4 linked regions of the Lonchura striata genome follow. The protein of the gene in region 1 interacts with the protein of each later gene in a pairwise test. Links are inferred from orthologs where the notes say so. Each region holds a gene or a part of one and is shown on either strand. Other genes may lie near its edges.

What was found.
Region 2: the proteins of EIF4ENIF1 (region 1) and EFHC1 interact in binary tests that used the Homo sapiens proteins (3 or more experiments, as listed by UniProt). The two-hybrid records come from large-scale screens. The link is inferred for Lonchura striata from reciprocal best matches to the Homo sapiens genes EIF4ENIF1 and EFHC1.
Region 3: the proteins of EIF4ENIF1 (region 1) and EIF4E2 interact in binary tests that used the Homo sapiens proteins (3 or more experiments, as listed by UniProt). The two-hybrid records come from large-scale screens. The link is inferred for Lonchura striata from reciprocal best matches to the Homo sapiens genes EIF4ENIF1 and EIF4E2.
Region 4: the proteins of EIF4ENIF1 (region 1) and EIF4E interact in binary tests that used the Homo sapiens proteins (3 or more experiments, as listed by UniProt). The link is inferred for Lonchura striata from reciprocal best matches to the Homo sapiens genes EIF4ENIF1 and EIF4E.

What each region holds. Positions count from the first base shown.
Region 1 is NC_134620.1:4,471,787-4,478,911, reverse strand, and holds the start of EIF4ENIF1 (eukaryotic translation initiation factor 4E transporter), read right to left. Parts: upstream 3,008-7,125; 5' UTR 2,911-3,007; intron 2,567-2,910; exon of another isoform or gene 2,457-2,566; 5' UTR 2,429-2,456; coding exon 2,333-2,428; intron 1-2,332. UniProt on the Homo sapiens protein: EIF4E-binding protein that regulates translation and stability of mRNAs in processing bodies (P-bodies). Plays a key role in P-bodies to coordinate the storage of translationally inactive mRNAs in the cytoplasm and prevent their degradation.
Region 2 is NC_134605.1:110,375,052-110,382,840, forward strand, and holds the start of EFHC1 (EF-hand domain-containing protein 1), read left to right. Parts: upstream 1-4,770; coding exon 4,771-4,899; intron 4,900-7,789. UniProt on the Homo sapiens protein: Microtubule inner protein (MIP) part of the dynein-decorated doublet microtubules (DMTs) in cilia axoneme, which is required for motile cilia beating.
Region 3 is NC_134612.1:18,512,813-18,519,718, reverse strand, and holds the start of EIF4E2 (eukaryotic translation initiation factor 4E type 2), read left to right. Parts: upstream 1-3,898; 5' UTR 3,899-3,962; coding exon 3,963-3,982; intron 3,983-4,719; coding exon 4,720-4,834; intron 4,835-5,941; coding exon 5,942-6,076; intron 6,077-6,906. UniProt on the Homo sapiens protein: Recognizes and binds the 7-methylguanosine-containing mRNA cap during an early step in the initiation. Acts as a repressor of translation initiation.
Region 4 is NC_134606.1:49,885,906-49,893,443, reverse strand, and holds the start of EIF4E (eukaryotic translation initiation factor 4E), read right to left. Parts: upstream 3,002-7,538; 5' UTR 2,815-3,001; coding exon 2,674-2,814; intron 1-2,673. UniProt on the Homo sapiens protein: Acts in the cytoplasm to initiate and regulate protein synthesis and is required in the nucleus for export of a subset of mRNAs from the nucleus to the cytoplasm which promotes processes such as RNA capping, processing and splicing.

The sequences.
Region 1 (7,125 bases):
GCAGCTGAAAGGATGAAGAAATCCTAACAGCAGACACCACACATCAGCCAAACTGAAGGAAATCCCTTCACCCTTTCCCCCCAAAAATACAACATCCTTCAGAACTTTTATATCATTTTTCCTACATGATTAAAATCAGATAATTAACTATGTGAGTTTGACACTTGCTCTAGATGGCAACTTGGTAGCTGGATAAAACCTTAACATCAGCCTGCATTAGACTTCAGCAAAAAGAGTGCCATTAAAGGGAGCCTGACTTCCCTGCCCACAGCTTCCCAAAATAAATCTCAACCTGTGAGGAACATCAGTGCTGTAATACTATCAGAGCCTGGTGCAGATACTACAAGCATTACCAGCCCTGTCCATCACCAGATTGGGAATAGGTTGTTTTGCTGGCCACGAGAGGGAGTCCACAGGCTCTCATTCACATCCTATCACAATTCTTCCGCTCAAGTGAGGAAAATTTGAATTGTTTCTTGCCTTTCATTCATTAGCTGTGCACCCTTGGGGGAACAGCTTCCCAAGAACTAGAAAAGACACAGGTTAAACTGTAGAGCATTCCTGTAACAGAGGAGATAAATGCTGGCACTTCCATGTGTGGGGTTTTTGTTTAATTCACATACATTCTAAGCAGGCTGGGGGGAGAAAAGTGTGCTTAGCTGTTATCATACAGTTTTAAGCAAACAGCTTAGAACTACTCATAGAATGAGCCAGATACTTTCCTAGTGGTAGTAAGTGAATATAAACCATTAAAGGAAATCACCCCTGTTTCCAAATCGGCAGCACATACCCCAAAACAGTGTTCCCTCAACCCCTAATTAGTAGGAAATTGGAACACATGAAAATGCCCTACAATGTTCATTACCTCACCATCTTAAAATATTTGAGCTTTAACAGCTAAAGAAACTACATAATGCAAAGTATTTTAACACAGACTGATTTCTGGTATTTCTTGATTTAGGGTCCTTGGAAACCAACTGATAAACAAGACTAGGCACCTTTTGACACTAGTTCTGCAGCTTTATCCTGGTCAGAAACTGAATTAATAAAGCTGAAGCTAGTAAGGCATTGCTTTCAGTAAACAGCCCCCACCAGCATGGGCTGAGCATTGCTCTAAAAAGCAGAACAGAAATTGAAGCTGAATTCAGTTACTACACAAGAGGACTTGGACAAGACTGAAAGAGAATAGAGTCCACTTTTTCAGCAGGGGAGCTTTAAAAACGGCTCTTCTCTTTCACTTAGCAGTTAGTTAACTACCTAGGTCTCAATAGCAGTATACTTCACACCCTCAAAAGTTAAGGGCACATCATTTTTAGGAAGTTAGAGAGATTTAAAAAGCTTTGCCAAGAAGTTTTGCCAGTTCTGAAGTACGTGGTTTATTGTTGATGTCTACTTAAAATAAGCCAGAGCTCTACTATGTCAACAGAACAGAGCCACAATGATAATTTTTTTTCTTTAAAAAACAACCTACTAAAAAGCCAACAGCTCTGAATTCCTCAAGAAAGATAACACAGTCAGCAGCAGTAAACTATCTCACCCGTTCCACACTTCAGGCCGTTTGCTGCAAAGTATCTTAACAGCTTTTCACAAATCAATGACCACCTGTTCCCACAGCTTGCCATGGGAAAAATCACTTACAACTACGGACTCTTCCCAAAGGCATTTTTCAGCAGTGGTACCAAAACCCCAAACAAGATGTGAATTCCTAAACCCTACAGTATATCAAACTCAGTACTAGAACAATCTTTCTTTACTTGCAAGTTATTTGGCTCTTCTTCTTCCACTCACACATATATTTAGGCATCATAATTAAACAAAAGCACCTGTGAACACTAAGCATTGATTAGAGTCACAACTGTTTAAGCTTCCAGCAATCAAAAATGAGCAATTCTAAGGTTACAAAAGGCACCCAGCAAACATATGAGAGATCCTGATAACATCTAGAGTGCTACACCTTTCTATGAAATGGCACCTACTGCAAGAAAACAGTTTTGGTCAACTTCTCAAAAGAACACTGCTGAAAACAGAACTATGAAGAAGTACTTGAGAAAGCTGGTAGAACAACATACTTCAGTCTCTACAATAATCTCTCAGCACAAGCTATGGGGTGCTCAGATACTAAGATAAAGTGGTGGGAATCAAATGCGCATCGAGGACAAGATTGCACAACTGCATCACATTTAATAAGCTGTTCGTTTGATGCCACCGTGTAAACCCTAATGCAGGCAAAGGCTTTCCAGCTTTCACCTCACTGCTTCCCTCCACCTCCCACTCTACTCCTGTGACGGAGACCTACACACACAACTCAGAGATGAAAGGAGAGTGAGCTGACCTTTGTGTAACGATGTGGGTATTTAGTTGTAATTCTGTTCAGCTCCAGGAAAGCATCGCCATTTTCAGTTTCTGTTGCACCTCCTCTTTTATCCATGGTTACTTCAAAGCCTTTGACCGCGGAGCTAATTAAAACAAAACCAACCCGTCAGATTTCAAGACGTACCTTTCTAGAGGGTGCATTTTCCTTCCAGCCTGACTCAGATTAACACTTGGGCACAGGAAAGTAGAGCCGCGCTCCCCAGCAGCGCCCGTCCCCTCCCAACCCTGCCCCTTCCCCCGGCCCAGCCAGGCGGCTCCCGCTGAAGGCTCCGAGCCGCTCGGGCAGCGCGGCCAGCCCTACCCCGCGCTCCAGCGGCTGCGGCACAAGGAACACCGGAATATCGGAAAATCGGTCTGCGGGCACGGCCGGGGCGCGCGGCCGCCGGGACCCGCAGCCCCGCACCCCGCGGGGCCCTGAGGGGTTGGGCGCCGCTCGGGCAGCTCGGCCCAGGCGCCGTCCCGAGGCACCGGAGCCGCGGGGGGGAACGGCGGCAGCGGGGCAGGTGACTCAGCGGATCCCCGCCCGGCCGCACTCACCGGCGGGTGTCCCGCGCCGCTCCGCTCCGCTCAAGGCCTCACCGCCGCCCGCGGCGCTTCCTGCTCCGGCCGCCGGCCCCACTTCTCCCCCGCCCGCCCCCACTGAGGGGCCGCACGCGCCCCGGGCCGGCGCCGCCGCCGCCGCCGCCCCCCCAGCCCCGGCCGCCCCGCGCAGCCCCGCGCGCCGCCGCCGCTCCCGCTCCGCCCGGCGCCGCCTCCGCTCAGCCGCCGTAGCCGGGGCCTCGCGCCGCCCGCTCCGCACCCATTTAACGCCCCGCGCGCAGGCGCGTCGGGCGCGCGCGCCGGGGCTCCCCCGCCCTCCGCCTGCCCGCGAATGGGCGGCGGGAGGCGCTGAGGGCGGCCGGGCTGCGCTCCCGCCCTGCGTCCCCGCCGCCGGCCGCCCGCGGAAACGGCGTCTCAGCCTGCGAGCGGTGCGGTGGGTGAGGAGAGACGCGCGGCTCGCCGAGGGCCTGCAGGCAGTCTGGGCGGGCAGCCCTGCGGGGGAGGCGGCCACCGGCGGGATGCGGTGCGCGCCATGTGCGGGGTGGCGGCGGGACCGGCGCGTCCCTGTCCCGGGCTGTGCCCGTGTCCCCGTGTCCCCGTGCCCGGCTTGCCTCGGGGGCAGCGCGGGGTCAGAGAAGCGCGGGAAGCGGCGGGGTGGTGGCGGCTGAGATGGGCCGGGAGGGCGCTCGGCGGGCGCTCCCCTCGCCCCGCGCGCTCGCCGCGCTCACGGGCGGGCTCGGGGACGCTGCCCGGGAGCGCCTCCGCGTCCCGCCGAGCGCGGCCCGGCTCCCGCGGGTGGCGGGGGCGGTGCGGCTGAGCCCGCCGCCCAGCCCGGCAGTGTGGGCACAGGGTGTTCTCAACCCGGCCCGGGCTCCTGTCACGTTGGAGTCTGCCATCCCTGTGGGATAGCAGGACTAGATTGGTGCAGTGAGCGCAGCAGCTTATTCGGAGGCACCGGAAAAGTCTTTCAGTTTTTGCTAATAAAGAGCAGACATTGTTTTCAACATCAGTTTAAGGAATTTACTGAGCGAGATCGCCTGCTCCGTTTGTCCACAGCTCTGTCCCCGGCACTTGCATTCATTCTGCCGCAGGAACCCAGCGGGGCCACAGTTTCCAAACACCTTGGGCAGTGAGGTCTGTGTAGGAGCAACGAATTTCATGTAGGATCTGGTGAATAAGGTATTCTCTTCCCTGATCTGTAATGAAGTTGAATACTATAATTAAAATCTGGTTACCTATGGAATGAGAGAAATATATGAGAAATAAATTTCTTGTTTTTTTCATGACAAAGTGCTCCATTATTAATGAGACAGGACTATTGCCAAGTCTTCTGAAGCTAACAAGTGCTTTCCAAACAAATACACAAGAAGACTCCATGGCAACCAGTGGGCCACCAGCCTCGAGCTGAGTGGTTGTTACGAGATGCTGTAGGCTTTGAGAAGGCCTGAACTATGTTGTGTTTCACTGTCACCTTTGTGCACGTCGCTATTTTGGGCTAAAACAGCTTTTTTGGCTCCCAAAGACACATCTGCCACAGGCGCGTGTTACTTGATGCCCACAGCAGATATATCCAGTGGTGCAGAAGTGGCAGAACACAGTTTTTTCCCAAGTGCAGCAACACCTCCCTGCCGCGCCGTTCGGCCCGTTTCCCTGCGCGGGCCGGTCCGTGCTCGTGGTCGGTAAATGCCGGTCACACCGGGCCCGCCCCGCCGCACGGGGGCGCTGCCCGCCCTCCCGCCCCGCCGCACGGGGGCGCTGCCCGCCCGCCCGCCCCGCCGCACGGGGGCGCTGCCCGCCCCGCCCCGCCGCACGGGGGCGCTGCCCGCCCCGCCCCGCCGCACGGGGGCGCTACCCGCCCGCCCCGCCCCGCCGCACGGGGGCGCTGCCCGCCCGCCCGCCCGCCCCGCCGCACGGGGGCGCTCACTCAGGGGCGGGCCGGGAGCTCCTGCCCCTCATGGCGGGGCCGCCTCAGGCGCTGCTGCCCTTCCCTCCGCTTCTCTCCCGTTTGCTGTGGATTTCACCGCTGCTTTCCGCCCATCTCCTGTGCCGGTGCCGTTTCCCCAGTCCCGGGTTCTGTGGCGCCCGTCAGCGGGGGGGGGCGGCTGCCGCCGTCCCTCACGGCGGGGTTGTGGAGCAGCGTCCTGTGGGTCTCCAAGTGTTTGTACAGGGTTCAGGGTATAGATACCTGCTGGAAGGAATCTCATGTAGTAAAACTCCAGAAAAATCTTGTAGGGTTCTGTTTGGTTTTGGTTTTAAGCCTTTTTTGTTTAGTTTCGGTGCTTTTTAGGTTTTTTTGGGAGGGGGGAGGGGTTGGATTTTGGTTTTTTTTGGGGGGGGGCAGAGGGTTCTATCACACAGTAACTAATGCTTATAGAAAAATCCACTCTGGATCTCACACTTAAAAGGAGATGCCTGGCCGTAATTCCAGGTGCTTCCACAGAATTGACTCTTCCCAGGACCTTTGGAAGCCACAGGATTCCATGCATGGAGAAGTTCTCGTTGGAGCTACCTTCATTTCTAAGTGCTTGTGAAGGAGAGGAGCATAGTATTTTAAAAAAGAAACCAACAGGTGAAAAGGAATCAGCTGCTGATGGTGTCACCCTTGGTTATGTATTTATTTTTAAGTAGAGGCACATAACTTGGAGTAGTTTACTTTTTACAGCACCTTTCTAGCACAGTTTTGTTTAGGTGGGCAGAATTGCTGTCTTAGGATTCATATGGTTATAACTTTATCACCATTACATCAAGCCAGCACAGTGTTGCTAAGTGAGACAAACAGAGGATTTTCATGTTAAACATCTGGAATTGCATGATGCTGTTTGAGTGCAGCATAAGTCTGAGTGGAAACATGTCATTTTTATGATACAGACTGCATTTAGCATAGATCCATGTGATGGATTCATCACAAGTAACAGGCACCAATTCATGCTTTGTCCAAAGTTACTAAACAACATTGCAGAGCAGAGAGTGCATTTGTACTGTAGGCTTAGAACCACAGTGAAATGGGGAAATTCAGGAGCAGGTAAGCAGTAATAAGAAACTACTTTGTTAAAGACCTCAGCTGTAATTTACTTTATGTTTACAACATCTTAAGATTTCCATGGGACAGAAGAAGGTTGACTGATTCTCACAGAAGGGCTTATTAGTCTCTATGGAACTTTGTTAGCCAGAAAATGTTGCTCTTAAAATCAAAGTAAAAAACTATGAACACCTAACCCCCAAACTGATAATGAAACACAACTTTATGTGAGTTTACATTATCTCAACATTTACTTATAAAAGTGATGTTCTTGAGCTTGAGATACTATACTGGAACATAAGGTATTTGGACACAGCTGTTTGTCCAGCCACAGATTTACTCCATGTTCTCTTCTTCCCATGCTTTCCGTTTCTGACTTTAAAAGGAATAAATGATCCTTTGACTCTTATTTTTCATGGTCACTTGCCATAAATTTTGGGGGACATAGGCTGTAATCATTAAATATATGCAGCACATAACAGTGTTCCAAATACAGAAATAAAAGTACATATGTTGGAAAATTATATAGATACTCTTACACCTTAGACTTTCATACAAAACTTCACAGGTTGGATTTTTTTCAATTCCTTTGTATAATGTCACTGCATATGGTCAGGCCAGGTTTGTCTTTGGGGCAGATGAAATAGTTTTAAAGGGAGCTGGGTCTAATAGGTGTGTACAAGAACTTGTGCTGAAAACTGTTTTGCATCAGTTTTAAAGTGCCTGAAACTCCTTCAAACATGCATAAAGTTGCCTTAGAGTTGCCTTAATTGCACATCTTGATGTGAACAGAGCCTGCTGTCTGCTGGACAGGGCCTACCCCTTTCAGAAAACATTCAGATAATATTTTATAGAACAAGAATTTCTCACACAAAATATAGGTCTTGTTTTCTTCCATTAACTTTTTTTTTTAACTCTTTTGCAGCCTACTGGAATAAACAAAAAATACTGTATTTCCTCCCAGTGATTTGTTGTTAATAGTGGTTATTCCGTGGAACTTTTGAAACTTGCATTGTTCCAGTCACTTTGTGAAAACAACTTTTTTTTCTGGCTGCAGCCATGTTTTCCCTAGTTCAGTTCAGGAGTTCATTGGGGTGAGATTTCAGATTATCCTCTTCTGTTGGCTCTTCTGGAACTGAAGAATGTGTTTGTGTTTCTAATGTGCAAATTTTCAGGGTGGTGGCAGCATTTGT
Region 2 (7,789 bases), on another chromosome or scaffold:
GCAAGGACAGGTTCCTCATGTGCCTTGCAATTTACATCTTTTACTGACAAGATTATTTTTAAGCGCTGTTCTTACTAAACAGAAGTACAAAAGAGTTTGTATTATTTTTCCTTTGGGAAACAGGGAAGGATATGAGTGTTCCTTATTAACCAGCCCCTTCCCAGCTCCCACCTGCTGACTTTGTATTATTGAAAACATTGACAATATTTTAAGCTTTGTACTGTACTGATCTTTATTTAAAAACTTTAGCGGAAAAAAAGAAATCTATGAAAAAACAATTGGTGTGGTGTGAAATTCCCAAATGCACAACTGAACAACTACAGAAGGTTATGAGTAATTAGAAAAAAACAGGGATGATAATTATAGAGAGATAACAAAATGAACAATAAAGTGTGGTTTTATCTCTGAATCTCAAAGCACTCACAAGGTTTCATGAAACCTATTGGATTTCATTCCCTTTCCACAAGGGAAGTGCAGACCAGCTGCCCTGACACTGGTTAGAGAAATTTTAGTTCATCATCCACAATCACAGAAGGGTTGAGTTTGGAAAAGATTTCTGGGGGCCATATGGTCCAACCCTCAGCTCAAGCAGGGCCACTCAGAGCTGGTTGCCCAGGTCCATGTCCAGATGAATTCTGAATATCTCCAAAAAGATGGTGATCACTTCTCTGGGCAACCTGTGCCAGTGCTCAGCCACCCTCACTTTAAAAATGTGTTTCCTGATGTTCAGAGGAATCTCCTGTATTCCAATGTGTGCCTGTGCCCTCTGGTCCTGGGACCCAACACAGAGCCTTGCTCAGTCCACTTTTCACCCTCCCTTCAGGGATTTATATACACCTATAAAATCCTTTAAATATTGGCTGACCTGATCCTCTTCCACCAAGGTACAGATTCCTTGCTCCAGCCCTTCCCCCTGCTCTCAGGGACCAGGGATTCCTGAAGGCTGATCTTGCTGGTAAACACTGAGGTGAAGAAGGCTTTTCCATCTTCTCTGTAGCCAGCTCTATCTTACTGAGCAATGGGCCCACAACATTTGCCCTCACAACATTTGCCCTACTCTCCTTTTTGTCACCCTATAGACACCCTTCTGGTTGTCTTTAATATTCCTGATCAGATTCCAGTTGGACTTTGCCTTTCCTCATGCCTGCACATTCAGATAATGTCTGTATTCTTTTCCATCTGTATCCTTGTTTTCACCTTCTCTCTACTACTTCTGTGTTTTGAGTTTTTCCAGGAGCTCCCTGTTTATCCATGCAGGCCTACTGGCATTTCTGCCCAGCTTCCTGCTCATTGGAATGGACTGTTCTTGAGCTTGGAGATGATTCTTCCCAGGCCTTCTTATCCCAAGGCACTCTACCAAGCAGATAGAGTCCTTTGAAGAGGCCAGAGTGTGGAGTCTAGTGTTTGATGTTCACCCTCCTCCCTTCCTTCAGGATCCTGAACTATGCCAGCCAGCTCTACTTTTGACCCCCACATTTCCAGCAGACCATGGCTGGTGAGTCTGATGTCCAGCAAAGCACCTTTCCTTGTCGGCTCCTCCCTCACTTGGAGGAGGGAGTTACCAGCATCCATTCTAGAAACCTCCTGGGCTGGGAATCACAGAATCATAGAAGGGTTTGGGTTGGAAGAGACCTTAAAGATCAACTCATTCCAACCCCCTGCCATGGTGAGGGACACCTTCCACTAAACCAGATTTCTCAGGGCTCCATCCAGCTTGACCTTGAATGTTTCCATGGATAAGGCATCCAAAGCCTCCCTAGACAACCAGTGCCAGGGCCTTACCAACTCCATACTAAATAATTTCTTCCTAATATCCAATCTAAATCTACTCTCTGGCTTCATTTTGAAGCCATTCCCATTTGTCCTGTCACTACATGTTTTTATAAATAGTCCCTCTCCATCTTTCCTTTAGGCTTCTTTCAGGTACTGGAAGACTGCAGTTAGGTTACCCCAAAGCCTTCTCTTCTCCAGGATGAGCAATCCCAATTCTCTTGGCATTTCCTCTAAGGGGAGATGCTCCATCCCTCTTAATCCTCTTAACTTGTCCTCCCAGCAGGTATCAGGTGGCTGAAGTCCCCCATGAGGAGTAGGGCCTGCAAAGAGGCAACTGGCCCAGTACAACCTCACCCAAACTGGTTATCGCTTGAACCCTTTCCCCATAAGCTCTCCGTTGGCTCATCATCCACACAGAATTCCAGGCACTCCAGCTATTCTCTCACTAAAGGGCAGCTCCTCCTCACCTTTTTGGCTTGTCTGTATCCCTCCATTGTAACACTTGGGTCGTGGGAGCCATCCCACCACACCTTCCTGATCCCAACCAGATCACGGCCCTGCAGATGCACCCAGATCTTTGCCTGGTCATGCCCAGTCCTCACAATGCTGGTGTTCTCCACACACACTCCAGAGAGACACCCCAGCACACTGACATCCCAGATTTAGGGATCCCAGTTTTAGGGATTTCTCCATCATGGTGTTTTGTTGATTTTCTGATCCCTTTCTGTCATATCACTCCAGATCCTGAACTCATCAACTTTATCTGGGAGGGTTGTGTGTGATCACATACATAATTCATCAATTTTATCTGTATTTCAGAACTTAAAACCTCTAGAATGCCTTCTATTTTTCCTTCCAATAACCCAGTAATTTTAATTATTATTTCTTAATATACCACGCAGACCAAGGTTTCTGCAGGTTATGTCTTCACCCACCAGAGGGCGAGTTGTCTCCATCTGTGTCCTCCACTGCCAGAGCTCGATAAATAATTCCTTTTGCCTTTCATGAGTAGATAGCAGGGATGTGGGAAGCTGAAAAGGCTCATCTTGACCTTGGCAAGTCAGACTTGTCTGTACAGAAGTTGTCAAGGATAAAGCTTAATCTAGATCTTCACTTTAATTCCTCATTTCTCCTCTCTCCCACTTTACAGTCACAATTCCTAAACACCAGCTTATGCTATGGCTTTTCTTTTGCTTTCTTCTGTGGAATCTCAGAATGGTTTGGGTTGGAAGGACCATTAGAGACCATCTCATTCCCAACTCCTGCCATGAGCTGGGACACCTTCCATTAAACCAGGTTGCTCAACCTGGCCTTGGACATTTGCAGGGATGGTGCAGCCACAGATTGTCTGGGCAACTTGTACCAGGGCCTCCCCCACCCTCACAGGGATTAATTCCTTCCCAATGTCCCATCTAAACCTGCACTCTGGCAGTTTAAAAACACTGCTCCTTGTCCTGTCACTGCATACCCTTTTAAGTAATCCCTTTTTGGCTCTCTCAGAGCCCCTTTAGGCACTGGAAAGGACTCCCAAGGACTTCCCAGAGCCTTTTTTTCTCCAGGCTGAACATGCCTAGCCTGTCATCTTTACAGGGTGTGCACCAGCCACTCTGCCACACAGCCTTGTCACCGATTTGCAGTTATTGTCCTTGGGGATGATCCTTGGCACACATAGGTGAATTTCCTTCTCTGAGACAGGCCCTGTTCCCTGTTAAATGCTGCCTGGATATTGAAGCTTGAAAAATCAGAGGGCTTGATCAGGGTCCTGCTCCTGGGTCTAAGTCAGCCATCATCACACCAACAGCTTTGCTGTCCTCCAGATTCAACTCTTCAAGCCCTGCTTGGCCTTCAGTTCATTATTTTCCTTTCTAAGCTCATCAGCCTCATTCTTTATCTCCCACGTCTGGCTTTTTTCTCTCTCCCACACCATGCTTAGGCAGACAGTCTGGCTGCAATTCTCCCCGCTTAACTTCTGCTTAGAAAACCCTTGGATCTGCCACCTGCCCTTGAATCACAGCCTGGCTTGCCTGGTGTAGTGGTGATAAAGAGAAAAAAGCAAAGATGCACAAAAACCTTCTTTTTCATGGAATCCCAGAAGGTTTGGGTTGGAAGGGACATTCAGAATAATCTCATTCCAACCCTCTTGCCATGGGCAGGGTCACCTTCCACTAGACCAGGTTTCTCTCAAATCCTGTCCAGCCTGGCTCTGAATGCATCCAGGGGTGAGGAATCCACGTCTTTTGGGGAATCCACAACTTCTAAATGCAGCAGATAATTTCTGTTTCCCATGGTGATGGATTTAGCTGTTTTCTCTCTTACATTTAGGAGTCAAGTTTTGCACATCCACCTTTTCCTTGATGGTATCCTTGATGCTTCTTTTAGCCCCTTCCTCCAGAGATAAAAATCACATTTGAAAGAGAGGAATTACATCAGTGCTACATATGAAAAATACACTATTTCACAACTATATACATTTTAATACATGTATATATACATCATAAACTGGCACAATCACTCCTGTTAAAATATTTCAATCTCTCCAGGTATGGATTTGTCCCTTCAGAGCTGATCGTTACCCTGCACACTGCACACGGCAGGGAAAACTCCCCCAAAAGAAGCAGTCCAGGTGCCACCACCCGCAAAATGTTTTAATGTGAGGGGTTTATGAGGGGCCACGAGGGGGATATGCAAGTCTGTGAGTGGGATACGAGTGGACTATGAGGGGCTGTGAGGGGAAACTCCCTAATAAAACAGAATGAACGCTTTCCACGTCTTTTTTCCCCGCTCCGGGGCCGAACTCCCCTCACGGGTGGGGGGGGCGGTTCGGCCCCTCAGAGCCCTCCCCGTTGCCACGGCGACCGCGCGCCCTTGGCACTCACTGCGCAGGCGCGGGGAGACGCGGAGGCGCGAAGGGCGCTGCGCATGCGCACTGGGCGCGGGGCGGTTGCCGTGGAGACGCGTGGGCCAGGCCGGGCCCGGAGCGCCGCCGCCGCCGCCGCCATGAGCTCGGGGCCGGAGCCGGAGCTGGGGCCGGGGCCGGGGATACGGCCGGGGACAGGGACAGGGCCCCCGATCGGGCCCGGGCCTGGGCTGCCCTTCCTCCCCGGCTGCGCCATCAAGGACCCCACGGTGAGCGCGCCCGCCCACTGTACCCCCGCTGTGCCCGCTTCCCACGGGAGGCCTCCCGGATCAAGGTGGGCTGGCCTTGTGTGTGCCCCCTGAGGGGTGACCTCAGAAACGGGCTTCTGCACCTCCCTGCACCTGCTTCAGGTGGTACCTGGTATCCCCTGGTGACGCTCTCTGGGAATCTGGTATTCCCTCAGACTTTGCTCAAAATCCACAGAAGGCTTGGGACTCCTAAACTCAATGATATTCATAGAATCACAGAATGGTTTGGGTTAGAAGACCGTAAAGATCATCCCATTCCACCCCCTGCCATGGGCAGGGACACCTTCCACTATCCCAGGTTGCTCCAAGCCCTGTCCAACCTGACCTTGGACACTTCCAGTGATCCAGGGGCAGCCACAGCTTCTCTGGGAACCCTGTGCCAGGGACTTGACACCCTCACATGGAACAAATCCTTCCCAATATCCCATCTATCCCTACCCTGTTGGCAGTGGGAAGCCATTGCCCCTTGTCCTGTCCCTCCACGCCTTGTCTGAAGTCCCTCTCCAGCTCTCCTGGAGTTCCTTTGGACACCAAAACCAATTCTGCTGTCTGCAAACTCACCCCTTTAGATATTCAATTCCCTTGAATCTATCCAATAATTCCCCCACAGTTCATAACATACCCCAGGGGAAATCCCCAAACTCGCTTTACAATCTTGAAATCTGATTCCCTCAGGAAAAGCTGCTGTTTCTCTGAACCATCTGAGTTTTCCCAAAGTTCTCTGAACTGATACTGATTCTGATACTGTCCTGAACCAAGTTCCTTAAATTCACCTGATACCTCCTAAGATGGATATACCCAGGAGAACCAATATTGATCAAACCTTGAGCATTCCTCCACATGAATTAATCCCCTAGATCATCCCAATATGATTATGTCTTGGACATAATTTGTCTATTACATAGATACACCTTGAAGTCACCAGTCTCATTGGCAATGAACATCTTCCAAAGCTCTGATACTTCCAAAACTGCTCTCCTGGTGTTGCCTGGAGAACTGAATCCTTGGCAGTGCAGGTCTGGAACCTGATAACCTGATGAGAGAACTGGTATCCCACCACAGAACTGGTGTCATCACTGCTTCCAGGATCATCCCCAGGAAATTACACACTCTCAGCTGTTCCCAGGTTCCCTGGAAGAAGCAGTCTCATCCTCATCCTCATCCTCTGCAGCCGATACTAAAAAAGGAAGCAACCTCTCCTTTTCCCCATCCAATGGTCCAGGACCTGATAACCCAAATCCTCCCAATATCCTCTTGAGGAAGTGGTACTTCTACAGAGAACTGATGCTTCCATTTATTTCTTTGATATGCTAAAAAAATGCCCCCCAAAACAAAAATGAGTTGTTTCATGCCTGGTTTGGGCTTAACCAGGAATTTACAGCCTTCCTGGAGAGTATCTTTAACAGAAAACATTCCTGGCTGCATCCAGCTTTGTATATGAAAATTCATTGTCACAGAATCATGGAATGGTTTGGGTTGGAAGGGACCTTAAAGATCATCTTGTTCCAACCCTCTGCCATGAGCAGGGACACCTTCCACAAACCAGATTGCTGCAAGCCCATCCAACTTGGCCTAAAATCAGTGACAACTGAGTCCTCCAATAGTAAATAGAGTAAATTACTCATAACAAATAGCCATCCAGCAATAAAGGTTGTCTCAGAATTATTCTCAGATACTAATATTTCCTTGAAGTAATTTCTAACATCTTGGAAATCTGCAGTTTTCCAGTCCATAAAACTGGCATAACAATACTTGGTTTCATAGTGAATGCCGAGAAGTTCTGAAGGAAACCTCTGTGTTCAAGTAAAGTGGTGTTACAGCTTAGTGCTCACTGGACAGGGAAACAGACACTGGGAGAGGGAATGGTGTTTGTGTCAAGTGTTACAGACTTGGCAAAAAGAAGGACTTAATTTAGTGGAATTTCTTCAGATAAACACTGGCAACAACTGAGATTAGGAATTTACATTCTGGGTTTTCCCTTTTAAACTTTCATTAGTTACCTGATCCTGGAAGATGTTATCTGGCATACAGGCTCACTTTGGAAGAGCTTGTCCACTCAGGAGCCTTATGAACCAACGAGGTGCTTTCTTTAGGCAAATGTGGGCTCTTAAAAGCCTGCACACTTCTAACAAACACTGATATTGCTCAAATTAAAGACAAACTTCCTGGTTTTCCTTGAATATTTTCCCCACAGCTTTCCCTTGGTATTTATTTAAGAGAAGGAAGTGGCAGTTCTGTGGCAGTTTATAAGATGTTCTGCTAAAACATCTTCAGACAAATCTTGTTTTCACCTGTTTTCCTCACTGCTCTCTCCTTTGCAAGATCTATAGTAGCAGTTTAAAGAGAAAATGGGGAATTATGTGGAATTCAAGTGGGGCCTGAAGGTATAAATAAGATAAGAGGCTTAACCATGAGAGGCGAGGAAGGGGGTGGAGAAGAAGCAGTTTGCATGCCTAAGGTCGGACTGACTGCAACTGGAAAAGGAGCTGGAGCTCGTTCTCTCAGCACAAGACATGCTTACAACTCTGTTTTACTTGGCAAAAGTCAAGAGGTTTTATTATCAGGGACTCATAATTTCCCCTGTTTTCTCTGGAGCTTTAAGAGTTGAGTGTCCAGTGGGACCAGGAAGGCTCTCGGAGTGCAGGTGAGGTACCACGTGTGCCAGAGTGTGCAGCAAGTGGAGCAGTTTGGTGTCACTCGAGTCTGACCCTGCTCTTCAGTGGTGAAGAACAAGACTGACTGACAGATCAGCTCCTGTGCACAGCCCTGGGAGAAGGACTTGGAGCTGCTGATGGATGAGAGGTCGAGAGCCAGAAGCCCCCACCATGTGCTGGGCTGATTCCCCCGGTGG
Region 3 (6,906 bases), on another chromosome or scaffold:
AGCCTACAAAAGAAGTTAATTTTCAGCTTGCTTTGTTTGTAGTCATGTTTCTTTGTGTTCCACTCCCTTCTGCCATCAAATGGATGTGCTTTTTGGATATTGCTTCACTACAGAGGCTGTCATGTGCCAGAGGCTGCTCAAAGGATCCCAGGTCATGGCAGAATTCCATGGCATCTCCTGGCCTCAGGTGAGCAAGGGCTTCCCTGTGATTGTATCAACACCTGGCAGGATTCCTCAGTGAGCTATGGCATGGAGTGGTTGTTCTTTGCCAAGGCACAGAGAGGAAGAAGAGCTCTAAAATGAACACTGAGCTCTGTTGCAGCCAGCACTCACTGCTGTGCTCCTCTTCCTTCTCAATAATGATTCCTCTGCAACTATTCCTGGCTTAGTCTGCCTACAGACCCTTGAATGTCCTGTAACAGCTCTCTTCACAGAGACTAGCCTGACTTTACATATATAATATGCAGCATCAAATTTGCCATGGGGCCAGAATCAGGTTTTTCCTCTTACCTTATGCCTTGGAGGGCTTTTTAATAACCCTGATTTCCTGTGTTAGACTGGGCTGTAAGAACCATCCAGAATAAACAGGACAAGCTGACATGAATGTGGCTTTGAGAATTACAGACAAGTGTTGACTTAAAATTTAGGAAGGAACAGGTCATTTGGGAAAGACTTCACTTAGAAAACTTAAGAAAAATTGTATTTAAGGTAATTTAAATCTGCCAGAACTGAAACTGAACTACCAGTGGAAAGCAGGCAATCGAGAAATGTATGATAATGGTCATCTTTGACACACTTCCTTGCAAGATAATTTTTAAAATAATTAAGTTGTCATGCATTTCCTACAGTCAGACAAGTGACAGTTGTGGATCGTTGCAATGGTTAGGCACAGTTCAGCTGTGAACATTCAGCCTGTAAGTGTTCTGTGAAGCCAAGATGTTCCTGGCATTCCCCTGCTTGTATTTCCAGGTGCAGCCCCAGGACACTTCCCCATCACTGCTGAGGCCCTCGGGAACTTTGCTGATGAGAAGGCTGCTGGCAGAGACACACCTGCAGGATCGATGAGCTCTTACTAAGGCTGAGATCAGGCACCACCAGAAGAGCTGGGTGACTGCACAGCCACAGGACTTCAATGCTGCATGCCTGAATGAGATGTTAAAGCTAACAAGTAATTGTCTCTTAGGCAGATGCTACATATTTCAAATGCTTCTAGTTAAAGTATTTCCAGCAGCACTCCTGCTTCCTCTCCTCCTTTTTTTCCTGAGAGATGGCTGAGCTATTTCTTTCTTTGAATTCAACCTAAAACATAAAGAGAGTGATGCTGTTCCACTCTAGGCTGAAAGAAAACTTACTGTGCGCTGTCTTCCTTTTCAGCAAGATCATATTTTTTAACAGAACAACAAGGCTGCTGCCTTACCAGCTCCACCAACTCTGTATGGGCCTGTGATGAAAAACAGATCTGTTGCTGGGAATTTGCTATGCCTTAAATCTCACTGCCTGTCTCCTATCTGCAGGCAGAGGATGGCACGCTCTCTACATTCGGAGTGCAGTGACCACAGATCTCTTCAGAGCGGGCTCAGACACCACCTTCACTTTATGCTGAGCACTTCATGATGGTGTAGCTGGAAATCCAAGGTGGGAAATGTGTGTAGCTGCACGTGTGTTGTGTCCTTGCTCATGGCTCATGATTCAGCTACCCTGATCCTCCACTGTAAGATGGCTTAGGAATTTCAAGTTCTGCACAGAGTCTGCACATCAACAATTCTTGAATGCTCATTATTAGCCCTTTTTTTTTAAATTCAGAATGACTCCGAGAGGTGTCAGATGCTGTCATTTGCCCATCCTGTGGAATTGTATATAAGGACTGAACAGCCCTGCCATATGCAAAAGCAGCTTTACCAAGAGACTGTGTGTTACAGCAGCATGAGTGAACCCAGGGTTTGTGGGGACCCAGTACACCACACTGCAAGGCTTCCCTGTCACCGAGGTCTCTTAATGCCACTAAGCTTTGGGTACAACCCTTAGACAAACCAAAGTCAGGCATCACACCTATGTTTACATTTTTTCCCAGGCTGCAAAACTACCCAAAGGTGAGTTTGAACAGCTCATGAGGAACTCTTCACTGGGCATAGGATGCTGGATGTTATCTATGTGCTATAATATGAACAAATCTGTACTGAGTTTGCCTCTCTTGTTGCAGAGATGTTACTTTTACCATTTTTCCATACAGGATTTCAAGCTAGGTCAGTGTATAAAAGTATTAATATAATAAACTTTGGTTTCCTTTAAACTGGTACAAATGAAACATAAAACCCACAGAAATTTCAGGAATGTATATGCAATTTATTGTATTAGCGGAATACTTTAAATCCCTATCCAACCTGATGTAGGTCATCTTCCCAATAAGACCTATGTGGTTTTGCGGGAAGATCAGAATCCAAGCTGGGGGTTTTGATCAGTGTGAAGCCTTCACTTCTGTGGGGTTTAGTGGTGTTCTTTCTGTTTTAAGTTTGATAACTGTAATTACTGTATCCTTTGGTGCTCTTTAGGAGTGCCTAATAATTTCTAAATAAGCTATTAGGTAGGAAATAACAGAGTGTGACCCTGTTTCTCACCCTGTAATAATTACTTGGCACTTGTATTGGGCAATTTTAAGAGAGTGATTGATATCTTGGCAATTTTTATGAAAAGGATCTCTTTATGAACAGGTCTCCATAGCGATTTGTGTAACACATTATTTCTGAAATATTTTGGTAAACTGCTGGTCTTCAGAGCACACAGATCCCATTTGGGGATCCCTTTTGTTACCAACCAGGAAATTCTGTATGAGTGTTTGAACTGTTTCTGCTACTAAATATTTCTAAATAATCTTCCGTGACTTCTAAGGTTATGAACACACGTCTGAGCCCTTAAGACAACCGGATGGGAAGGCCCATGGTAAGAATATTTAGCCTAGGGCTTGGGGGGCCCTTTCCCTGTCCTGCCATACTCCTGGGATTTCAGGAATATTGCTGAGACACTCATTGCCTTTGCTTTCAGATAGTAAGGCAGGAATAGCAGTGTTACATTGCTTTACAAGAATTAATACACTAACACACTATAGGATAGAGGATATGCAGTGCTTTACATATGGTTATACATACCATTTTTTTTTAATGCTCCTGATCCACAGACTTATGAGAGATATTAGTTGTTCAGCATAAATAAGTTTTAAGTAGACTGAGTTACACCAAGTTATAATACTGTGGATATAATACGGGGTTGTTCCTTTGCTTGCTTAGCATGAGTACCTAGATTACATAGGCAATGAATTTTTACTCTTTCCACATCACAAATTGATATAGAAACAGAAGCTACAGCACTCAGAACTCTATTTACTAACTCTGCCAGATAGCAGAAATTTGCAAATTTCAGAGATTTGCAAAGCACTGTGAAAATTCTGTACTCGGAGTAACGTGGGAACAGATTCGTGAAGTGCAAGGAGATGCTGAAAGAGGGACTATTGCCTTTATCCGCTATGAACTGTCTATTATCACTTCAGGAGCTTGCAGACTCATTACTGGGACTTTTTCCCATTTTCTGTGCCATCCCTCACTGCACATGAAGGAAACATCAATGGGGAGGGAGTCGAGCTGGGGTTTCCTGTTGCCACAGGAGGCAAGGTGGGAAAATTCTTAGAAGAGTAACTGTCTGAGTCCTCAAACTGTATTTACGGGAGCACAATTAATTGCACGGATAAGTTGAACTCTCTCCCCAGCCCGCCCCTCACGCCACACCCAAGATGGCGGCCGCGCCCTGAGGGGCGCTCCCGCCCCCGCCCGCCGTGCGCCGCGTTACGGCTCCGGGGGGAAACGCGGGCGGTGGTGGCGGAGCCGCCGGAAGCGGCGGAAGAGTTTCGCGGGCGGACTCAGCAGGGCGGAAGTCGCTGAGGCGGACGGGGGTGGCGGCGGCAGCGAGCGACGATGAACAACAAATTCGACGCGTGAGTGTCGCCCCCGAGCCCCCCGAGCGGCCCCCGGTGCGGGCCCTGCACCGCCCCGAGCCCCGCCGGCGCCTCCCGCCGCTGCCCCGGCGTCGGGCGGGCGAGACGCGATGAGTCACGGGGCTGCGCACAGCCCCGAACCTGCAGCCGGGGCCCGGCCTGGCCCCGAGGGGACGCGGGACCGGGAGGTGTGGGCGGTGGGCCGCTGGCAGGCCTGCACCGCGGAGTTGCGGACCGCTTTGTGGCTCTGCTTGTCTCGCTTTTTTCCGGCCCTTGGCAGGGAATGGGGCGGGCGGAGAGATCTGTGGGGTGCTGGGTGCTGGCGCGGTGTCTGCTCGTCCGAGGCGCTGCCTGTGCAGTGCTGGGGGCCGTGGGGAGCGGGGTGGGTAAGACTCGGCAGAGGTACGGTGAGAGGTCTTCGTGTGGGCCCCCTGAATAGCAGGGAACTTGAACAAGTAACCGGGGTTTCCTGTGGCAGATCAGTATCCAGCACAAACCACTTGAGTTTGTTCCAAAAAGCTGTTTCGTTGTTCACGTCAGCTTAAAAGTGCTTGCCCAAGATGCCTGTGATGGGCATGAAAGAAGAAGTAGTTTTTACTGTGTACGTTGTCAAGTGTAGATATCCAAACTGTGGTGGCCCTTGTACCACGGAGGAGCTTTGGAGCAGAGAACTACCTGGGCTTGGTATGGACCTTCTCAGCTGTGTGATGGCTCTCTTTGTTATTTTTCTTTACCAGATTGAAAGATGATGATAGTGGAGACCATGACCAGAATGAGGAAAATAACACACAGAAAGACAGTGAGAAGGAAAAGAACGATCGTGAGAAACCACAGAGTACTACCAAGAGGAAGGTATGGTGCTGGCATCTGCACTCCACTGCCAGGGCATGGTATGGGAGTGCTGGGGAGTCAATGCTCAGCTCAGGGATAAGGGAAAATATGTCTTGGGGGGCTGTGATATCAGTACGTTGCTACTGCTGCAGTGAAGACAGCAGCACTACGTTTGATTTTGGTAATTTGATGTCACTTTTGGAGGTCTCTCATCTGAGGGGTGAGTGCTCCCATCACTAACATAGTGGTACCCTGTCAGGCTTTTTAATGGAAATGAGTAATGAGGCTTTATTTTCATCCAAAAACAAATTTTGAAGAGGATGTGGGGAAAGGACTCATGTCTGACAGGACAGTAGTACCTTGAAGGTGGTTTAGCAGGCAGTGTTTGTGACACTCTTGAAACACCTTTTAAGATGTGTCCCTGTGTGTAAGGTAGCCTGGTGAAGAAAGCATTGTGTATATATCTCCCCTGGTTTGGTTTATTTTTATATCTTGTTCAGGAAAATTTCTCTGTCTGAAGTAATGCAACCCTTGTAAACTTGCCGAAGTCAAGAGGAAAGTAGAGATTTAAGCCCTGCGAACTCCTGTAACAATATCAAGTAGTACAAATAAGAGCTTTGATTGGGGTATTCTTTGTAAGTTTTGACTCCTGGCTGATGAGCTCTCATTAGCCTCTTTTGTGCTCATTAGAAGTATTTTTAATCAGAAATCAGTGTTTTGGAAATTAAAAAGTGATTGCTGCCCGCTGCTGGTGATGGGTTCTGCCAAAGCTGACATAACAAGTTCTTAGGTTAATCTTCCCAGAGCACTGGGGTGTTGGTTCCTTCAGGCAATTGGTGTCATCAAAGAGTTTAATTGCATTTGAATCATGATTCATTGTAAGTGGGGTTTATCATTCCCAGAGGAGGAAAGTGTCTTTTTTTTTTTCCCTTAATTTGAAAAAGTTCAAGGTCTCACATTTCCTTTTTAGTTGTTTTTTTTTTTTCCCTTTGAGACAGGCACAGGACTAAAAAGAATTCATCCACGATACCTCTGATGGCTCGAATGGTTGCTTTTATATGCTGTAAATGCAATTTTTCCCTTTTTAGAGGAGCATGCGAGGGGTAAACAAGCTTTTGTGTCCTGCAGGCTGTGGTGCCGGGGCCAGCTGAGCACCCCTTGCAGTACAACTACACCTTCTGGTACTCGCGGCGCACCCCCGGGCGGCCCACCAGCTCGCAGAGCTACGAGCAGAACATCAAACAGATTGGCACCTTTGCCTCCGTGAGTACCCCCTGCCAGCCCCTCCGCTGGGCACAGCCTGCTCCCCGTGCCCCGTGCCCTGCTCCCCGTGCCCCACTCCCCCTGCCCCGTGCCCTGCTCCCCGTGCCCCGTGCCCTGCTCCCCGTGCCCTGCTCCCCGTGCCCTGCTCCCCGTGCCCCGTGCCCTGCTCCCCGTGCCCCACTCCCCCTGCCCCGTGCCCTGCTCCCCGTGCCCTGCTCCCCGTGCCCTGCTCCCCGTGCCCCGTGCCCTGCTCCCCGTGCCCCACTCCCCCTGCCCCGTGCCCTGCTCCCCGTGCCCTGCTCCCCGTGCCCCGTGCCCTGCTCCCCGTGCCCCGCTCCCCCTGCCCTGTGCCCTGCTCCCCCCGTGCTGCCTCTGTGCACGCACAGGCCCTGCTCCTGGTTTGCCAAGGCAAATGAGCTCTTGAATTGCAGCAGGAGATGTGCGTTTAGCACTTCTCCTCTGCCCTGTGCTAGACCTCTGTGGTATAATGAGAAAAAAAAAAAAAAAAAAGAGTAGCCATGTCATTTATTTATGGCTGGAGCATGAGAAGAAAGGAACAGCTTTTCTGTTCCATTTCTGTGCTGTCCCTCACGCACTTCACCCACATTCCCATCACAAAAGCTGTGTTTGGAATAAACATCTGGCACGCTGTATTTACCAACAGCTGGTGACCTGTTGTCTCTCTGGAAGTGATGGACAAGGTGCCGTTTGATGTTGCAGTCAAGTTCATTAAAAGGCATATTGCTCTTCCTTTCTTCCTCCACTCTGTGGTTACTTGTTCCTGGAATAAACTTGAGCGTGTCCTGGACAGGCGGTCTTGGGTTTTTGCA
Region 4 (7,538 bases), on another chromosome or scaffold:
GAAACGAAGACTACTGCAAGAAAATAAACAGCTTCTAAACTCAAGTTTAACCTCGATTACAGAATAGTTCAAAACTGAAAGACAATTTATCCGAAGAAAAAGTCACATTAATTCACATTTAAAGTTTGCGTTTCTCTTTCACAATGGAGGCACTCTACCAACATCCCTGATTTAATGCTCCACTCTATCACCTCAAAATTCAAACTAATCTTTACAAAGCTGCCAAAAGGGATATTTTTCATCAAAAAATTTTGCATGTACCTCCATACCTGCAGACAGCATCAGTAAATGAAACACACCTTGATTTCATATGCCATTTTTATGCATGTCTTTGAAATAAGTTGTGCAACATACCCCTCTTAGAGGAAGCTCCATAATAACTCAGATATGTTATTTACAATTCAAAAGCTTATGATAAATATTCTCAATTATAAAACAGCATGAAAGGTACATCTATTCTGCATCATTTCAGAAAAATGCAATGAGCAAGCAACTGTGTTCACAATACTGCAGTTCAATGCTATACTAACTTCAAGCAGATCAGGTCACTGACTTCTACAGCAGAAACACCTAGCAACAAGAGCAAGTCTGAAGTTGAATTAAAATTACATGCTACCTGTCTACAGATAATGCAAAATAAGTACCTTTCAGCCTACATGGAATTTTAGGAGCTATTATGAGCTTTCCAGCATTTTAAGGTCCTGCACCACTATGTTTGTAACCCCTTGAGATAGTAGTTTCATTTAAATAAAGTTTTGATTCTCACCTATGTATGATTACCTTCTCAAACAAGTGCTTTTCAAATTACAGATAACTGAAATGTCACTGTTGTATGCTAAAAAATAGAGTTAAATTCACAAGAATTGTAATTATAACTGCCATTAATCAAAAACGCAAAAGAGCCATGATGCCATTTCCAATTTGCACAATGAGGGATTAGATTTATATGCACCTAGAAGTTACAGGCTTTGTGCAGGTACATTTTAAAGTCACCTTTGGTAAATTGTTTACTAAAGCATTACTCCTCGTTTTGTCATGGACTTTTGCATGGTGTTCTCTGATCACATTTAATCCTCAAAGGCTATATAAGCACTCTAACAGTGCTTATAACAGCACTCTAACAGGTGATACTTCTGCATAGTCTCAAAAATTAATCTAGAATATTTTTAAAAGAAAAACCTAGATATCACAAGAAAAACAGAATTTTTACTTGTCAGTGTTGCAAAGGTTTAAGTTCTCCCTGCAGCAGAGAAGTAAACCACTGTGCAATTGGTCTGTATTTATACAGAATAATTTTGCTTTTTTGACAACTATTATGGGACTCACTACAGAATTCTCAACTTAAGTTTCTGTATTTAAGTCAAACATTTTCCCAGCCTCTTAAGACTTTCAATGTATGCTACTTTTGAAACTATGACAGTACAAGAAACACCACTGATCTTAGTAGAAGCCTGTATTCATAAAACCAAAACCAACCCTTACTCAGTTGTATTTTCATTTCATTCTCCTACCAGGAAAGCATTACAGATGACATCTCTACAAACCAAGGTCCAGATTTTGCAGGTGAGCAACAGAAAGGCCTCCCTGTGATCCAGAGGTAGTCCCTGACCACACATGCAATTAAATTGTTCAGCTACAAAGCACGCAGTATTTCTGCAACACCTCTGACCTCAGTCACTACACACGCCTAACTTTAGGCTTAGGCGAGAGAAGGGAGCCACTTACAAGGACAATAACAAAGACTTTGTTATTTACTGCAATTTGAAAATAAGCACGCACAGTTGGTTGGTAGCTGACTCCTGAATGCGAACATACTGCACCTACAGCAAAACATTCAATAACCGCATTAATTACTTAAATTGTTGTGAGTTTTGCTCCATCTTCTACTTTTAGGGGCTCAGCACAACTGCTCATACTGAACTGGATCTGAGCAATCAATCTTGCTGGGACACAGCACGGCAAAAGCAATCGTTTACTTTCTGCTACATTAGGCCAGGATCTACCCCAATGTGCTGATGGAGTTAGTGGAGAAAATGGTGTAAAGACAGTTTTTGTGCGAGCAGCACAGCTAAGAAAGCCGCAAGGTGCAGGCCTTTAGAGTAATTTCATTTTCTAATGGCTGTATTACAAGTTATTTATCACAATTCCTACTAAGCTTCACAGTCACCACAAGGCACTGCACCGAGAGGAAGCCCTCATCTTCAGATAAGTGGGCAACAACTCAAAGACTGGCTCCGGGATGTGAAAACAAGTGTTTAACACTGGCTGAAGAACACCGGAAGGGTGCTGCTGGTGGTCTGTCTTGCAGTCTTAATAACTGACACTCTCCTTGTACAGAACTGCTGCCACACAATTTATAAATGCTAACCCACTTCAATCTCTTCCTCATGGATAAAAATCTGAGGTTTGTTTCACACAAGAAAACCATTAAGCGAAAAATCAAAAATGGCAAAATTAGTTTTTATTTAAAACCACTGATTTCAAACTTTTTTCACTTTGTCTAAATGATACAAAGCCTCCCCAAACAGCACACTGGCTATTTATTCAAAGCTGGCGAGCACAGCAACAAGAGACCAGCCCTCCTTAACTGTGTTTTCTTGAAACCCTAACAGAGTCGTCGGCTGTCCTCTCCTCATGATACACAATCATGTGGGATTAGAATAACAACTGTACTTGGATCACTTCCAGCTGCTCCAGCTCATTATGGAAGTGCAGGCTGGGGCTACGTTTGTTAAGACCGAGCATAATATACCATGAACATAACTTATCACCTGGAAAAAACAAAAAGAAGTACTGAATTATCATGAATATCATGAAAGATCTGGAAAAAAAAAAATCCTCTCGAATAAAAGACGACACAACCTGGGAAAAGCGATTGGTTTGCTGACTCTCACCACCGGGCTGTGGCGGCGGCTGCCCCAGCAGCGCATCTGTGCCTTGCCGGCCCGCGCTCGCTCCCCGCGGCGCCTCTCCGGGGCCCGGCGTGCCGGGAACGCGGCCCTTCCTCACGGCCGGAGGAGCCGCCCCTCGCCGCCCGGCCCGCCGCGGCGGCGGGAACCAACATGGCCACCCCCACCGCGCCACATGCGCCGGGCGGCCGCCGGGGCCGCGGGCGGGGCGCCGCACAATGGGCGCCGCCGGACCGCGGGCCGCGCTGCCGCCGGACCCCACCGGAGCCGCGGCCGCCGCGCTCGGGCGGCGGTGCCGGCACAGCCACGGCGCCCGCCGCCCCCTCCCCGGCCCCTGCGAGCGTGCGCTCCTCGCCGGCCTCCCCGGCCAGCCGACTCCTGCCCGACCGCCCGGCCGGGCCCCCACCGCGCCCCCGCCCGCCGCGGCCGGCGGAGCGGCGCCTCGACGAGGAGGAAGAAGATAAGGATGCCGTAGGAGGAAGGCAAGGTAAAGGCGGGCGGGAGAAGTGAACGCGGCACTCACCGGCTCCACCGCCGCCATCTTAGAGCGCTCGGATCGCGGACGCACCGCGGGGCGGGGCGGGGCGGGGCGGGTAAAGGCCCCGGGCCGCACGCGATTGGTCACGAGCGCCCGGCGGCCGTTGGGGGCGCGCTGCCAGCCGGGAGATGTAGTCACCCAGCGCGGGGACCGCCGGGAACCCCCTATTGCCGCCCGGGCAGGAAGAGGCGGGCCGGCGCGGGGGCGCCCTCTGGCGGCCGCTGTGGGAGCAGCAGCGCGCGCCCGCCGCTCTGAGCGCACGGCGCGGCCGCAGGCGCCAGAGCCCCCCCGTGCCCCCGGCACAGCGCTCTGTGCCCCCTGTCCCCGGAACAAAATCAGAGAATATTTAGATTGGAAAAGAGCTTTAAGAACATTGAGTCCAAGTGTTAACCCAGCACTTCAAAGCCCAGCTCGAAACCATGTCCATAAACATCACATCCACACATATTTCTGAACATTGTCCGGAACGGCGATTCCACCACTCCCCGGGGCAGCCTGTTAAACCAAATAATGAATCCCAGCCGTGGGATTCATTTCAGTGCTGTGATTTCATTAGTACTTACCAAAGGCAAAGGGTTCAATAAAGAAAAACACAATAAATATATAAGTAAGTTCTTACCCTTTTGTAATGCTTCTTGATGAAACAAATACCGTAACAGTTTTCAAAGTAAAAGAACTGGGGCATATCTTTATCCCAGTGACAAAACAGAAATTGAAAAACAAAATATTTCTTCCTAAACGGTATAATTTTAAATCACATTATGATGGCAAAACAAGAACATAATCTCTGAAATTTGTACATTCAGAAAGTACATGAAGAAGCAGGGGTTTTTTTACTGTTTTTTTTTTTTTTTTTGTGTTGTTGTTTTTTTTTTGTTTGTTCTTTTTTCCCAGCATATATATCTATATCTATAGATATGGATATAGATATAGTTCATTTTACCTATTCTGCAAAATTTGATTTCTGGTAATTCTTTATAGACGGTTTGATGCAAAACAGTAATTAATAAATCTTCCTATTTATTTGCCTACTATGCTGCCATATGGATCTTATATTCCACTTTACTTGCTTGGCAGACATGTACATTCTTTGACTACCTGTTCTAATCCTGCTTTTAAGGTTCTTAACATAAATAATCAATCCAAAATCATCTTCTTCCCTGATAGTTTATTTTCATCTTTTTCTGTGTTTAACTTTGTATTTTTATTCTCAAACAGCAAAGTGTACAGACACACATTTTACAGCCTTGAACATCATTTTACTGAGAAGATCTATAAGTGCGTATTAACCACCAAATTGTATTGAATGTCATATAGCATTTGGCTATTTCATTTCTCTCATGCAAGGCAAGGAGAACAGCATGAAGCCCTCTATAAGTCAGCTATGCTTTTTAACAGTTCTTAATTAGCTAGGTGAATATAGCACAGCTGAGCTCAGAACATGGCCTACCTCATTGCCACACAAATGGGAAGCAAGCACGTGTTGTGGTTTGGGATATGCTTTCCTTTGATTTGTTGAGTTTTGGAGGCAAAAAGCCTCTAAAGATTATATCAGAAGTTATCCAACAACTTACAGTAGCAAAGATACGATATAACACACATAGTAGACCAGATGCTCAGAAGTGATGTGGCTGCCTTGCAAGTGGTATAATCTTCAAACTAAAAGGTGATTTAAGATGGAAGGCAAAGAGGTATCACAGATATAGCCAGAAAATCCCACCTTTTGAAGTCATAGTGGAGCAAAGAAGGGGCTGAAGTAAAGAAATGCTGAGTATCTCGTCTTCAGCAGTCCTTCAGGGATTTATCAGTTTCCAGTGTGAATCTAGCTAGTGCTGGGAACATCTCCAATGTGCATCTCCAAGTCAGAGGTGTGTAGGTATGAGCTCGAATTGATCTGCACACTTATATCTCAGTGATTTGAATGAAATAATACTTTTGAATACTGTTGTATGTGATTAAAAAGCTGATAATCTAAATTTAATTTTGAAACCTGAAAATAAAAATAATTTTTAATGTCACACAGTATTGTCCATGGTATCTAAAGTGGAAATAAAACACTGATTTTATTTTACTACTGTTAAGTCTATTTTATGGCCCTTTGATGACACAAACTAAACTAAATCTCTTTGGATATCAATAACATTCCTGTTGAATTCAGTTTAATTCTTTGGGCCAGAACTTCACTCCATGACTTCTACTTTTTCTGTAGCAACGAATAAAATTGTTCTAATCTCCAGACATATTCGTGGATTCTTTCAAATATTTCCAGCAGTAGAGTTTTTCCCTTTAAGGCTTGCAACTTACTGGTTAAATAGGAATGCTTTTTATAAAAACACCTTTTTTTTTTTTTTTTTTTTTTTACAAAAATGCAGCTTGTTTCCCTTTGATCTTGTCCCATGATAAAACAATCAGTTTCATATCCATACATTGGAAATTGCTAAAATTTTTGGATACCAGAAGAGTGTTCTTGAATGCACAGAGAGCCATTCTTACATCACAGTGCAAATTTGATACCCTGTATTAAATACAGACTCTGCAAGAGGCATAAACTTGAACAATCAAATCAAAACAAAACAAAAGAATGCAGGATCTTCCTTTTCACCACAACTAAAGCTTGCTTGGAATTAGCTTTGAGTAAGGCTGCTCCAGCCTGGATTGTGGCTGGAGTGGGCCTTTCAGTAGTTTAGTTTGTATCTGTACCAATGGAGGGGATAAAAGTGATGCAGGGGCTTAAAATACATTGCAACCTCTTTTGACTTCAGAGAATTGGACAGAACTTGAAATCCCGCATGATTTTTCCTTAAAGAGAAAAAAATGGAGGCATGTATTTCTTTAGTGCAACTCTGTTCATACACAAAAGATGTTTACAATGATTTTCCCCCCTATGCTCTTAGTATTTTGCTTTGAGCACAGGTTTGTCTTTTCCTCTGGGTAATGCTTCCTATAGGGCTGTTTTCCATTCACTTTTTGAGGTAGTGCTTTTGTGGCCATCTTTGAGGTGCTTGTGATGGGTTTGCGATTTCTGTTTTTGGCAGACAGACATGCACAACCTACATAACTGTTGCATTTGGTATGAGAAACTCACTAAGTGCCTGTACCATCTGGACAAGCCACAGCAGGGCACATTTGCATGTGGTCTGGCTCCTGGGTGGCATTTTTGCATTGTTTCAGCCCTCCCTAGACAAAGAGGCATTTAATTGTGTCTTCGATGAGCCTGAACAGGAGACAGCTACCAAGAGCTTCATTGGGAAAGGGAGACTGCCCAGCCCCCACTGCTGCAATGTAGAGAAGCAAAGCAAGGAGGGGGGACCCATGCTAAGGTGCTCTCTTAATTAAGTAATGTCAAATTCAGTGGCCATTTTCTCCCTAAGCAGCAGCTGTCTCAGCTGCCAGCTGCTCTCGCTTTTCTGCGGCTGCTCTCTGACCCATGAGACATGGCTGACCTCCCCTTTTGCCCTCTTTGCTGCCCTCACATACTCCCAGCCTTGCATCACTTTGGAGGAGTTGGGAGGACAGCAGTGGACACAAATCAAGCATCATGAATGGGCTATAAAATATGTGACTCACGCCCCTCTCTGTGCGTTGGTCTGTAACACAGGGGGACAGGCAGCCAGAAAGGGATGTGAAAAGCCTGACAGAAAAAACACCTCTGCTCAGGTAAGGTAATAGCAAAGGTCAGTGAACTTCCCTGGTGAGAATGAGTGTGCCACCAGATAATGGGAAATGGCAGTGGATAGACCTCCAGGATGCAGGAGTCAGTTCACTTTGTAAATAAGAACATCAAGGCCAAATTGGAAAACAAAAACATTGAAATACCACAGAAACCACATAATTTTTTTATATGGGGAGATGACGTAGGGCTGTTTAAAAACCATTTCAACAGCAAACCCTAGGCCAAATCTTTCAGGGTTTGTTATTCTAGTCTGATCTGCCATTGCAGTCTGTGTTTCTTTCAAAGACTGCAGAGGACAAGTACACATGTTTGCGAATTCCTCAATTAGGGGGCTTGCTGTTCTTTAAATTACACATATATTTAAATTGTTTAATTAATACATGCATCTTTGGCTGTTCTAAGGAAGCAGGGAAACAGC